3 linked regions of the Kluyveromyces lactis genome follow. The protein of the gene in region 2 interacts with the protein of the main gene of each other region in a biochemical or structural test. Links are inferred from orthologs where the notes say so. Each region holds a gene or a part of one and is shown on either strand. Other genes may lie near its edges. The genes, in order: MYO1, BNI5 and ELM1.

The links.
Region 1: the proteins of BNI5 (region 2) and MYO1 form a complex in vitro, tested with the Saccharomyces cerevisiae proteins (2 studies listed by BioGRID). The link is inferred for Kluyveromyces lactis from reciprocal best matches to the Saccharomyces cerevisiae genes BNI5 and MYO1.
Region 3: of the proteins of BNI5 (region 2) and ELM1, one has a biochemical effect on the other in vitro, tested with the Saccharomyces cerevisiae proteins (2 studies listed by BioGRID, with this or other methods). The link is inferred for Kluyveromyces lactis from reciprocal best matches to the Saccharomyces cerevisiae genes BNI5 and ELM1.

The regions. Positions count from the first base shown.
Region 1 is NC_006041.1:1,018,392-1,021,801, forward strand, and holds the end of MYO1 (myosin 1), read right to left. Parts: coding exon 581-3,410; downstream 1-580. Other genes in the region: MAS2 (mitochondrial-processing protease subunit alpha), read left to right, coding at 1-442. UniProt on the Saccharomyces cerevisiae protein: Required for cell division.
Region 2 is NC_006040.1:682,114-685,241, reverse strand, and holds BNI5 (Bni5p), read right to left. Parts: upstream 1,511-3,128; coding exon 512-1,510; downstream 1-511. Other genes in the region: DNA-directed RNA polymerase core subunit RPC10, read right to left, coding at 32-244; KLLA0_D07964g (uncharacterized protein), read left to right, coding at 1,964-3,016. UniProt on the Saccharomyces cerevisiae protein: Required for normal septin function and cytokinesis. Its recruitment to the bud neck by CDCd11 and SHS1 ensures efficient localization at the bud neck of MYO1, the type II myosin of the actomyosin contractile ring.
Region 3 is NC_006042.1:2,487,749-2,491,258, reverse strand, and holds ELM1 (serine/threonine protein kinase ELM1), read right to left. Parts: upstream 1,934-3,510; coding exon 530-1,933; downstream 1-529. Other genes in the region: KLLA0_F26961g (C2H2-type zinc finger protein), read right to left, coding at 2,371-3,510. UniProt on the Saccharomyces cerevisiae protein: Important role in G1 events required for bud emergence and septin organization. Coordinates cell growth and cell division at G2/M, essential for efficient cytokinesis and for regulation of SWE1.

The sequences.
Region 1 (3,410 bases), on a different chromosome or scaffold from region 2:
ACCACAAGCTGCTCCATTCGCTGCCGAAATTATTGCACAAACTTTATCGAATGTGTTTGCCAACGACAAACTGAAGTTGACGAAGGAAGAAGTGTCAAGATCAAAGAACCAACTAAAATCATCTTTGTTGATGAATCTAGAATCTAAAATCGTAGAACTTGAAGATTTGGGAAGACAAGTGTTATTGCATGGTCGTAAGATACCAATGAAAGAAATGATGGAAAATATCGAAAAGCTTACCGTCGATGACATTAAACGTGTTGCTGAAACGGTTTTCACAGGCAAAGTCAATAATCCTGGTAATGGTAACGGGAAGGTGACGGTTGTAATGCAAGGTGAAAGAGAATCCTTTGGTGATATTGAAACAGTATTAAGATTCTATGGTCTAGGTAACTACCCAAAACTAGACGTACCAAAGATGAAGAAACAGGGTTGGTTTTAATTCTCAATTCAGCATTCATTAATTATTATTATAACATCAAATAAAGATATGTAAATAGCTAACATAAAGGACAACAAAAATATCAACAGTTCAATGCTGTGCACACGAAATCAATGAAAAACTATGTTTCTATAACATTTAAATGAAGACACCATCTGTAGATTGAGCTAAGGATTGTCTTCTTTCAGAAAGTTTCTCGTATCTTTGCTTCCAGGATGATATTTCCTTCTCAAGTTCAGATATCTGTTCTTGATAGTAAGTGTTATCTCTATGCATTTTATTCAGTGTTGCATCCTTAGTAGCATTGATGGCCTCTATTTCTCCCAATTTTTCATCGAGATTACCAATAGTTTCCTCGTATTGTGATTTAGCATCGTTGGCTATCTCGATTACATTGGCTTGTTCTTCATTCTTCCTCTCTAACTCTTCAATTATTCTCTCAAGTTTCTTGGACTTCTTGATTTCCTCGAACTTGGAAGTACGTTCTTCTTCTAGAGTAGTTGTTAGAGTTTGAACTTTATTGAACCATGCGTCATTCTCAGAAGTGTCAGCTAGTTTATTCTTCGCATCCAAAAGATCGTTCCTCAAAATCTCATTGGCTTTTGCTAGAGAAGCATTTTCTTGGAATAGATTTGCATTCTTATCTTTTTCCGAAGAAAATGTTGTTTTTATCGTATCCAATTCTGTTTGCAATTGATCTATGAGTTCTTCATTACGTTCTGCTTGTTGTTTTTGCAAAGCTAAAGATTCCTCCAAGAATTGAACATCGTGCGAATACTTTTCCTTTTCTTTTAAAGACTGGGAAAAGTTCCCATTTGCTTCATCGAGTTTAGACCTCAAAAATGTACGTTCTTCTTGGAGTTGTTTGTTTTCAGCTGATAGGGATTGTGTGGTCTCTTCTAAACTCAAATTTTTCACCTGCAGAGTTTTGATAGTTGTTTCAAGTGTCTTCTTGGCAGCTTCAGCTTCATCTTTTTGAATCCCAAGTTCTGTCACAAGACGCTCATAGTGATTGGTCTGTTTCAATAAATCTTGGATTTTTGCCTCCGAATCGAGTTTCAAAGTCTCCAGTTGATAACCGAGACTTGACATTTCCTTTTTCATTTCAGTTTCTAATCTCAAATAACCATCTAACTTGCCTTTTAAACAATCAATTTCCACTAAGTATTCTTTATTATTTTCTACGGCTCTTGCCCTTTCCTTGTAATGTGTTATATCTTCCTCTAGTGCTTTGCTTTTAGATATTGATTTATCAAGTTCGATCGTTTTCTCGTCAAGTTGAGATTCAAGTTCAGTAATTTTTGTTTCCTGCTGCCAGATCTCTTGTTCTTTCTGTTTGTTCTGAGATCTGAGCTTTTGAATCATTTGCGTCATACTCTCGATATCTTTTTCTGCTTGCTTTAAACCATGCTTGACAGCTCTGACTTCACTTTCTACAGTAACCAAATCTCTTTGCGACCCTTCGTATTGCGTCTGATAACGCTTAGAGTTAGATTGAATCATATTTTTCTGTTGTTCTACTGTTTTCAGTTCATCATCTAACTGAGCTATTTGTTCTCTCAACGAAGCTTCCGTTACCAAACTCTTATTGTAATCTAACGTCAGGTCGTGCAGCTTGTTTTGATATTCTACCAGAGAACTGTGAAGCCTATTAGACTCTACTCTATGACGCTGTAGTTCTTCTTCGTATTTCTCGAAGGATTCGCGGTGTTTGAAAATATCACCATTAATGATGTTCGTCTTGTCCCTAAACGGAGAGCTGTTTTGTCTCATCTCCAGAGATTTAACGTAATCTTCGTTTGCCTCATATCGCAGTTTAAAGATATCAGCAGAAGAATCAGATCGTTGTATTTGTCCAACCTTTTGATGAAGCGCACTTGCGACCCTTTCAGCATTTTTTCTAGCGTTCATTTCCTTTGTGAGCTGTCTTTTTAAGAAGTCGATTTCCAGAAGCATTTTCTCTTGGTTTAGTTCAAACTTATCAATATTTTCAAGTTCCTCGTCTAAGTTCACTTCAGATAAAGTAGACTTTGAAAGTTGTTTGATCTTCTTCAATTGAGCAGTCAAAGTTTGATTGTCAAAGGAAGCAGAAGCTAAACGAGTTTCTGCAAATCTCAAACGAGAAATCAAATTCTTCTTTTCCTCAATTTCACTGGTCAATCTCATTTCAACATCTTTATATTTCATGGAAAGTTCATCAAATTCTCTCCGTAGATCGTCTGTACCTACAGAAGACGAAAATCCATTGACAGCTTTACCAGATCTGCCAACAGACAGCAGACGCTCATTGAGGAATTTATTCATTGACTGTTCTTGTAGTAACTCTGTCTTCAATTTGTTTAGTTCATGGTTGCCATTAGAAGATCCATTTTCTTGTTTTGCCGCTAACAATTTTGAGTATTCTTCATTGATGGACTCCAATTTACATTTATTAGAGTCATTTTCTTGTCTCACTGCCTTTAATTCCTTTGATAACGATAATACTTGAATTAATAGTGATTCTTTTTCTTTGGATAATGAATTTACCATTGATTCCTGTTCCGAAACTTTAACATTAACCCGGTTGAGCTCAGCAGATTTATTCTCAAATAGGCTGTTTTTTGTAGCAATATCATTTTTTAAAGACTTGACCTGAGCAGCAAGTTGAGTATTCTCTTCAAAAAATCCCTTCATTCTGTTACTTGTAGCAGCAAGATGCTTTTCCAAAGACTTTAACTTTACATCAATGGCTATTTCGGAATCGTTAACCTTGGCTTCCATGTCCTTCAAAGACATCGTCTTCTCTTGAATCTCTTTCTTCAAATCACTAATTTCCCTAATTAATTTATCTTTTTCGGAGTCTAAAGCACGCTCGTCATTCTTTACAACATCCAACTTATTCTTAAGTTCATTGACTGTAATCTCCAGCTTTTCTTTATCATGGGACAACTCTCTAAACTTATCTTCTGATAAATCGGAAGCATTTTTC
Region 2 (3,128 bases):
ATATAGTTTATGTGATGGAATGGGAACAGGTTTACCTGGCTTCGAACTGGACCATTCTCTTGGTTCTGGCCTTGAGTAGGATACGGTGACCGCAATTCTTGCAACGGACGGGATCAGTTCTGGAAAGCGAAAGTCTGCTTGAACACTCTGCGCAGATGTATTTCAAAGTGGCAGTTCTGCTCTGAGCTGCACCAGCAGCAGCAGCATCTAAATTCGTTGGGATTTGGAAACCTTCACGGGACATCTTGACACTTACTCTTAAACTATTGGGGCCACAAACGCACTCACTGACTCGACTATCGGAGGATAACTCTCGTATCCGAGACAGTATGTTTCAGTCAAAGCTTCTGATTCCTATGATGAGCTTGTCAATTCAAATTTCTTACTAAGGTCAGAAGAATTTCTTTTGGAAATACACGGTAGGGTAATACTTAAAGGATGCATAGAAATACACACACATTTATATAGACACGAATGAACGTATGTATGTATGTAGTACGAGATTTCCAGGTTACGACCTTCCTACCCAAAATTGGCCATTGGCCCCCATATCTACGTTTTTCCTTATTTGACGGGATAATATTACACCTGTATCGTAACGTTGTTTGTTTTTCTTGTCGAGGTATTCTTGCAATTTTTCGATGGCAGTGATCAGTTTGCGTCTGTCTTCGAGCGTTAAGGTACTTTCGTTTTTAAATTTGTGGAGGTAATCGATTTCTTTTTGTAGTTTGGTACATTTGACCGAGAGTGAGTTGTAATTTTGCTGTAATTGTTCAAAGTTTATGTCTGAAATATCTGAGGAAGTGCTTGAGACCCTAGAGCTGTTTCTCGATGCGTTACGGGAGCTTGGTTGGCTACCAACATGTACTACGCGGAACGGGTTGCTCTTCGGCGTGAGTATACGTGGTGAAGTAGGTATGTTGCTTGAGTCAGTGTTTGGTGCACGAGGGACGGTTCCGTTCTGAGTATGGCCGATTGCTGCAGGAGCAGGGTATGTACTTGATTTATCAGTGTTAGGTACAATCGTAGCTGCTGCTGCTGCTTCATCCTCTTCTGTGCTGGTGGAGACTTCGATCTTCTCAGAAGGTATTCTCTTCGCTGGAACAGAGGTTACGGAAACAGCGGGAATAGCTTTCTCAGCAGTTGGTTCAGTTTGTACTTCTGCCACCACTTCTGCCACTACTGCTGCCTCTAATTGAGTACCTGGTTTCTCCTCTTTTATGTCTTCTCGCTCTTCCGCTTGTAGTGCCGTCTCTCTGCCACTACTTAGTGTTTCCGGTACCTCGTCCTCCCCATCGCTTTTAATAGCATTCTGCACAAATTGATCAACCTGGTTCGCCGTTAGCTTCTGCAACTCTAAGTAATCCTCATCTTGATCGTCAGAAGAAACATCCTGTTTCGTCTTAACCGTGGTCTCATGAATGCTCAAGTTCTTATCTATCATCTCGTTCATCTCACTTATCTCTAACTCAATTTGAGACATTCGTTTCTTTACCTGCTCTGAATCCATAATTGAAAAAAATAGGACGCCACTATCAACAATGTGACACTTTTATTCTGCCACTGATACGCTTCAACTCGTCAACTACTAGTACAAACGCCTTTTATTAACACATACACGTATTGGTGACTGGAAGTTTCCTTTTTCCTTTGTTTATATTGTTTAGTTTTTGAATTTTTTCACAGTATGGCAGTTTATATGTAAATAAGAAAAGAGACTTAGATCCCAATTTTAAGGAAACCTGCATATTTCTCCTTCTTCTCTTCAACTTGACACATTTTTTGGGTACTATATTGGTATCTTGAAGGTGGTATTCAAGGTACTTCAGGATTGCCGTATAAATATATAATTGCTGGCAGATATACCTATTAAAAGTGAGTGGAAAGGTTTTTCTTTTTGTTTCAATTTTACTGAGTATAGATCTTCCAGAGAAGAGTCATTGCATGACTAGAAAACACCGTTATGAATAGATTTCGATCGAGATATGGCCAAAACAATCAGGATTCTAGATCTAACGCAGATGATCAGAACACGTTAATGTCTTTCCCGCATTCTACACCAGGGGAAATGGAATCTGTGTTTTCTGAATCAAGTACCATTGGAGATTTCGAACGGCTGGGTTTTGTGAATCGAAGCCCTCGATTTGCCAGTAATAGAACCGTTATATTTGCTTCAGTTATGCTTTCTAAGGGTTTTTTTGCGTGGGAAAATCAAGACACGTTTGATACATTTATTTCCAACCGTAGGAAACTTGATAAATGCTTAGATTCCGGTAAAGGGTGGCCATTATTTCATTACGTTTCTGTAGGGTTCAAATCATATTTCAGGAAAAGCACCCCAGTGTCCAAAATTTACAAATACAAGGTGGTTGATAACGATAAAGTCGATGATATCAAGGAGCCCAATAAAGAGCTTCTTCATCAAAACGAGAAAAGGTCTCTTTTCAAAGTTGAATTTTGTAACGTTTTCCGGAACGTTATCAATAGTGAAGGGATTGTATACCATAAATTCGTGTGCTTCCAACCTGATGGGATCAGATGCTCAGTTTTGATGATGAATAGCATTGGACGAAGGAACACTGATTGTCAAGTCTATGAACCTATTACTGATTCCTTATTGAATCTCAGATGGATTGGAACAACAGGATATACGTCTGTCTTTGGTGCAAACGATTTGAAATTGGTGATCTTGGATGATCAAGTTCCACATTTGTCATCACGGGCCTCTCAAGAGAGAGATAATGACAGAAGAGATTCGCAACGCAGTGAACATGCACGATCTCAATCTAAGATGCCAGTCTGGGCTATGTATTCCAGAACTACCTCAATTTTGCCAATACCCAGGCATCGTGTGTTGAAGTTGGCAACTTTCCAAATCAGTGAAGTTGAAAATGCTGAGCAAGTGCCTTTCACTTCCGAACTCTTGACATGTATGAGTATGTACTTACACGAATTGGAATCGAGAAAGGAAAGAAGATCACCATTGACATCCGCTCCGATGATTTCAATGGTGTAGGTTTCGTTGATGTAGTGGTTCAGTTCAATATTCATTGATTATGTTTATTCTTAAATCAAAGAGCTCTACTCTAATGGGATATGGAGATATTTAGTTAGGTTGAATAGATTAT
Region 3 (3,510 bases), on a different chromosome or scaffold from region 2:
TTCAGGAGTATATTGATAGTTCAACTTCTGGGTATGCCCGGTTCAATGTTGAGAAAGGTGGGTCTTTAAGTCGGTAATTAAATCTGGTGATTAGAACCTCACAAGCGGACTGAAGAAAAGTCTACGCAAATAGTTTCTATTGAGACAAAATCAGTAAAATTAATGAGTAGCCTTCTTTCAGTTTACCAGTCGATGACTAGCGCTGATCACAGGAATACGACAGGCGCTAATGTCTTTTTGACTTTTTGATCAATTCTATTTAAAACCTCCAGATCTTGAGGTTTATCACCGCACAGAGTGAAACAAAAACAGAAACTTTTTTTTCCTAATAATGCCATTTTGCGAAACGTAAATAGTAGGGTTTTCAATTGTAAACAAAATGAAACCTTAGCGAAAAAGACATTAATTCAAGGTTAGAAAAGGACAGCATGAATCCCGTTGCGTTCCCTGTACAGCAGGTCAAAGTTAAGGGTTTATCTATTTGTGAATGCCGGAGAGTGCGTGAGGTTATGTAATCTATGAATTTGACCTATTTAATGTACTTTTCCAAATTAACTGTCGCTCTATGGGATCGATTCAATGGTTGTTTCTTGTCTGTAAGAGGGATCGAAGCAGCATTGATACTACTGGCAGGCGAACAAAAATCCTCTTTGAAGGATTGTGTAGGAAGAATTTCGGTATTTTTATTCTTAGTGAGTAGATTTTTTTTCCATTTATTTAGCTTCAACTTCATTTTATTCATTGATGATAGTTCAGATTTGGAATGAGATTCCAATGTACGCAAAATATTTGATGTTGTTGGCCTAGAAGCTGTATTTTTGGATAGCATACGGTTAACAACGTATTCATGTATCCATCCATAAATATTTGAACTGTTATGAACGTCAGGTTTCAACTGCCGATGACAGATCAGATTGTATGTGTCAAACTCAGTTTCTCCCCAGAACGGTAATACATTGTATAAAATTGCGTACACTGTAATACCAAGCGACCAAACATCAATTTTGAAAGGCTGCTCATTACTAGCATGGGCTGACCCTTCAGCGAAATTACAAAGCTCAGGAGCTGTAAACAGTGGTGTTCCCACTATTTTATTCAGTTCTTTTTCAAATAAATCCTGTAGTCTGCCATCTTTGAACGGGAGTTTGCTCGGTACGATTAATGAGCATCCGAAATCTGAGATCCTTAAGCTATGATATACTGGATCTAATAGTATGTTCTGCGGTTTTAGATCTCTGTGAATAATGCCTTGTCCTTGTAAGTACTGTAAACCATTTGATATATCTCCTAACACTTTCACTGCGAACTCCTCTACTGAATCAAGTTGACCCCGGTAGAATGACTTCCATTGCTCTATCAGATCAAACTTACTTTCTCTAGACCATTGTAACTCGCCAAGGACTGCGAGGGGTTGGATAAGCCATATTTGGTCAGAATAAGGAGAGTCCAAACATTCTAATAATTGAATTACGTTAGGGTGATTTAGTTTACTCGTAACGAAACATTCCCATCGTATTTTACTCACGTTCATTTCCATGATAAGTACATCACCAGATATGGATTCGTACCTCTTCATTGTTTTCATTATTAGGCTCATAGAAAAGGGGGAATTCATAGGTTTCTTATAGATCTGTTTGATAGCTACAACTTTTCCTGTTGTGTGACCTTTGTAAACAGTACCGAACTGTCCACAACCCAATCTTTCTCCTATGCGGTACTGGTTCACAAATTTCTGTGCGTGCTCTTCTTGAGAATCTGAATCTGAATCTGAAGCCGAAACGTACCTTTCTATTATCTTTGTCTTGCTTATAACGCCAAGTTCTAGTTTCTTTTGTTGCTCATCGATAATTTGAAAGTATGATTCCGGGTCCGTACTCATAGGTTGAATCCTAATTGACTCCGGAAACTGTATGATCGTGGGATACTTCTTCATATTTCTTACAGTAGTTGCATATCAAATTGATTGCTTGTCTAGCCAGATAACGTTTTGTAGCTGTTCTTCATCCTTTATGGTTATCTTCTCATGTGTATGCAGCATTTACGTTGAATATGATTATTCTGTACATGAAAACAGGCTTTTTGAAAATTCAATGGAAGAAATATGCCAAAGAAAGGGAATACACATATGCAGACGACATTTGGTGATAAGTGAACGTGTACACCACATTTTATTAAAGGATCCATGTGAGCGCATATATTAGACCATATCGGATTATCCGGGGTGTATATAAATGAACTTCCTTATAAAAATATAAAGGACTATTAAAAAAGTTGAGAATTCATAACTAACTGTGAAATGATTCATTTCCAATTATCAAATGTCTATTGTATCTCATTTCCAATGTCACATCTGAAATATCGTAGATTATTTCAGTGCTTGTTTGAAGAATTCGTGACTCTTCTCGGTGGGGGTAGCTCAGTTATATCGCCGTGCTTCTTGTGTGTCTTTAAATGCTGTGATAAATTGTCGCTTCTACTGAACTTCTTATCACAAAACTGACAGTGGAAAGGTCTTTCCGTCGAGTGAACAGAACGTACATGTCTTTTCAAGTGTTCGCTACGGCGGAAGGTCTTATTACATTGATCACATTTGAAAGGCTTTTCTTCTTCATCCATCGGAGAGGTAGATTTAGGGCCCTTTGATTTGGACATGCTGGACCGTTTCTTCTTCGTGGTTGTCGACTGTGCACTTGTGGGGAGAACATTTGATTCAGAGTAAACATTAAGAGTTTGGACATCAGGTTGGCTTGATCCAATAAGGGCTTCAGGGTTTGTAATGGGTAAATTGAGTTTAAAATTCAAACCAGCTCTATCAAGGCCTAACGAAGTTTGGCTCGTGGAAATTTGAGTCTCTAGTAGTGGATCGTTGTTCAACAATTGTGGAGAAATAAATCGTCCACTTGATGAAGTTTCCGTAGGATTCTGTGATGCAACTTGGGTTGACCTATTCAATGCAGATTTTCTTCTGAGCCTTAAAGCATCTTCATGATCTTCTGGATCTTCTTCATCATCGGATATTATAGCATTTTCCCAAGAAAGTCCATTGCGCGTCATGTCTCCATATAGCTTCGATATAACATCTTGGTTACCATCCAAAAGTGACATTGAATATCGTTGCTTACCAACTCTATTATGTGCTTCCTGATTTGATGAATTGCTTCTCTTGACATTCGATTGTGTAAAGGAACCAGTCCTTAACTTGTTAGTGTTTATGTTACTGCCGTTGCTAGGCAGGTTGGATTGTGTCATATTATAAGCATTCAATAGTTGAGTGAGCTCGTTATCAATCTTAAACGCACTATGGCGTTGCTGTGACTGTTGCTGCTGGTGCTGCTGGCGCTGTTGTATCTGTTGGCGGTGCATTTGTGATTGCAGCTGAGCCTGTTGTTGCTGTTGTTGCAGTTGCTGTTGCAGATGTTGTCTTCCCTTATTTTTGAAACTCATTAAGTCAAACAACTCCGAATTGTTATCTTGCTGAACTTGAGAATTACTACTTTGGTTTTGGTTAGA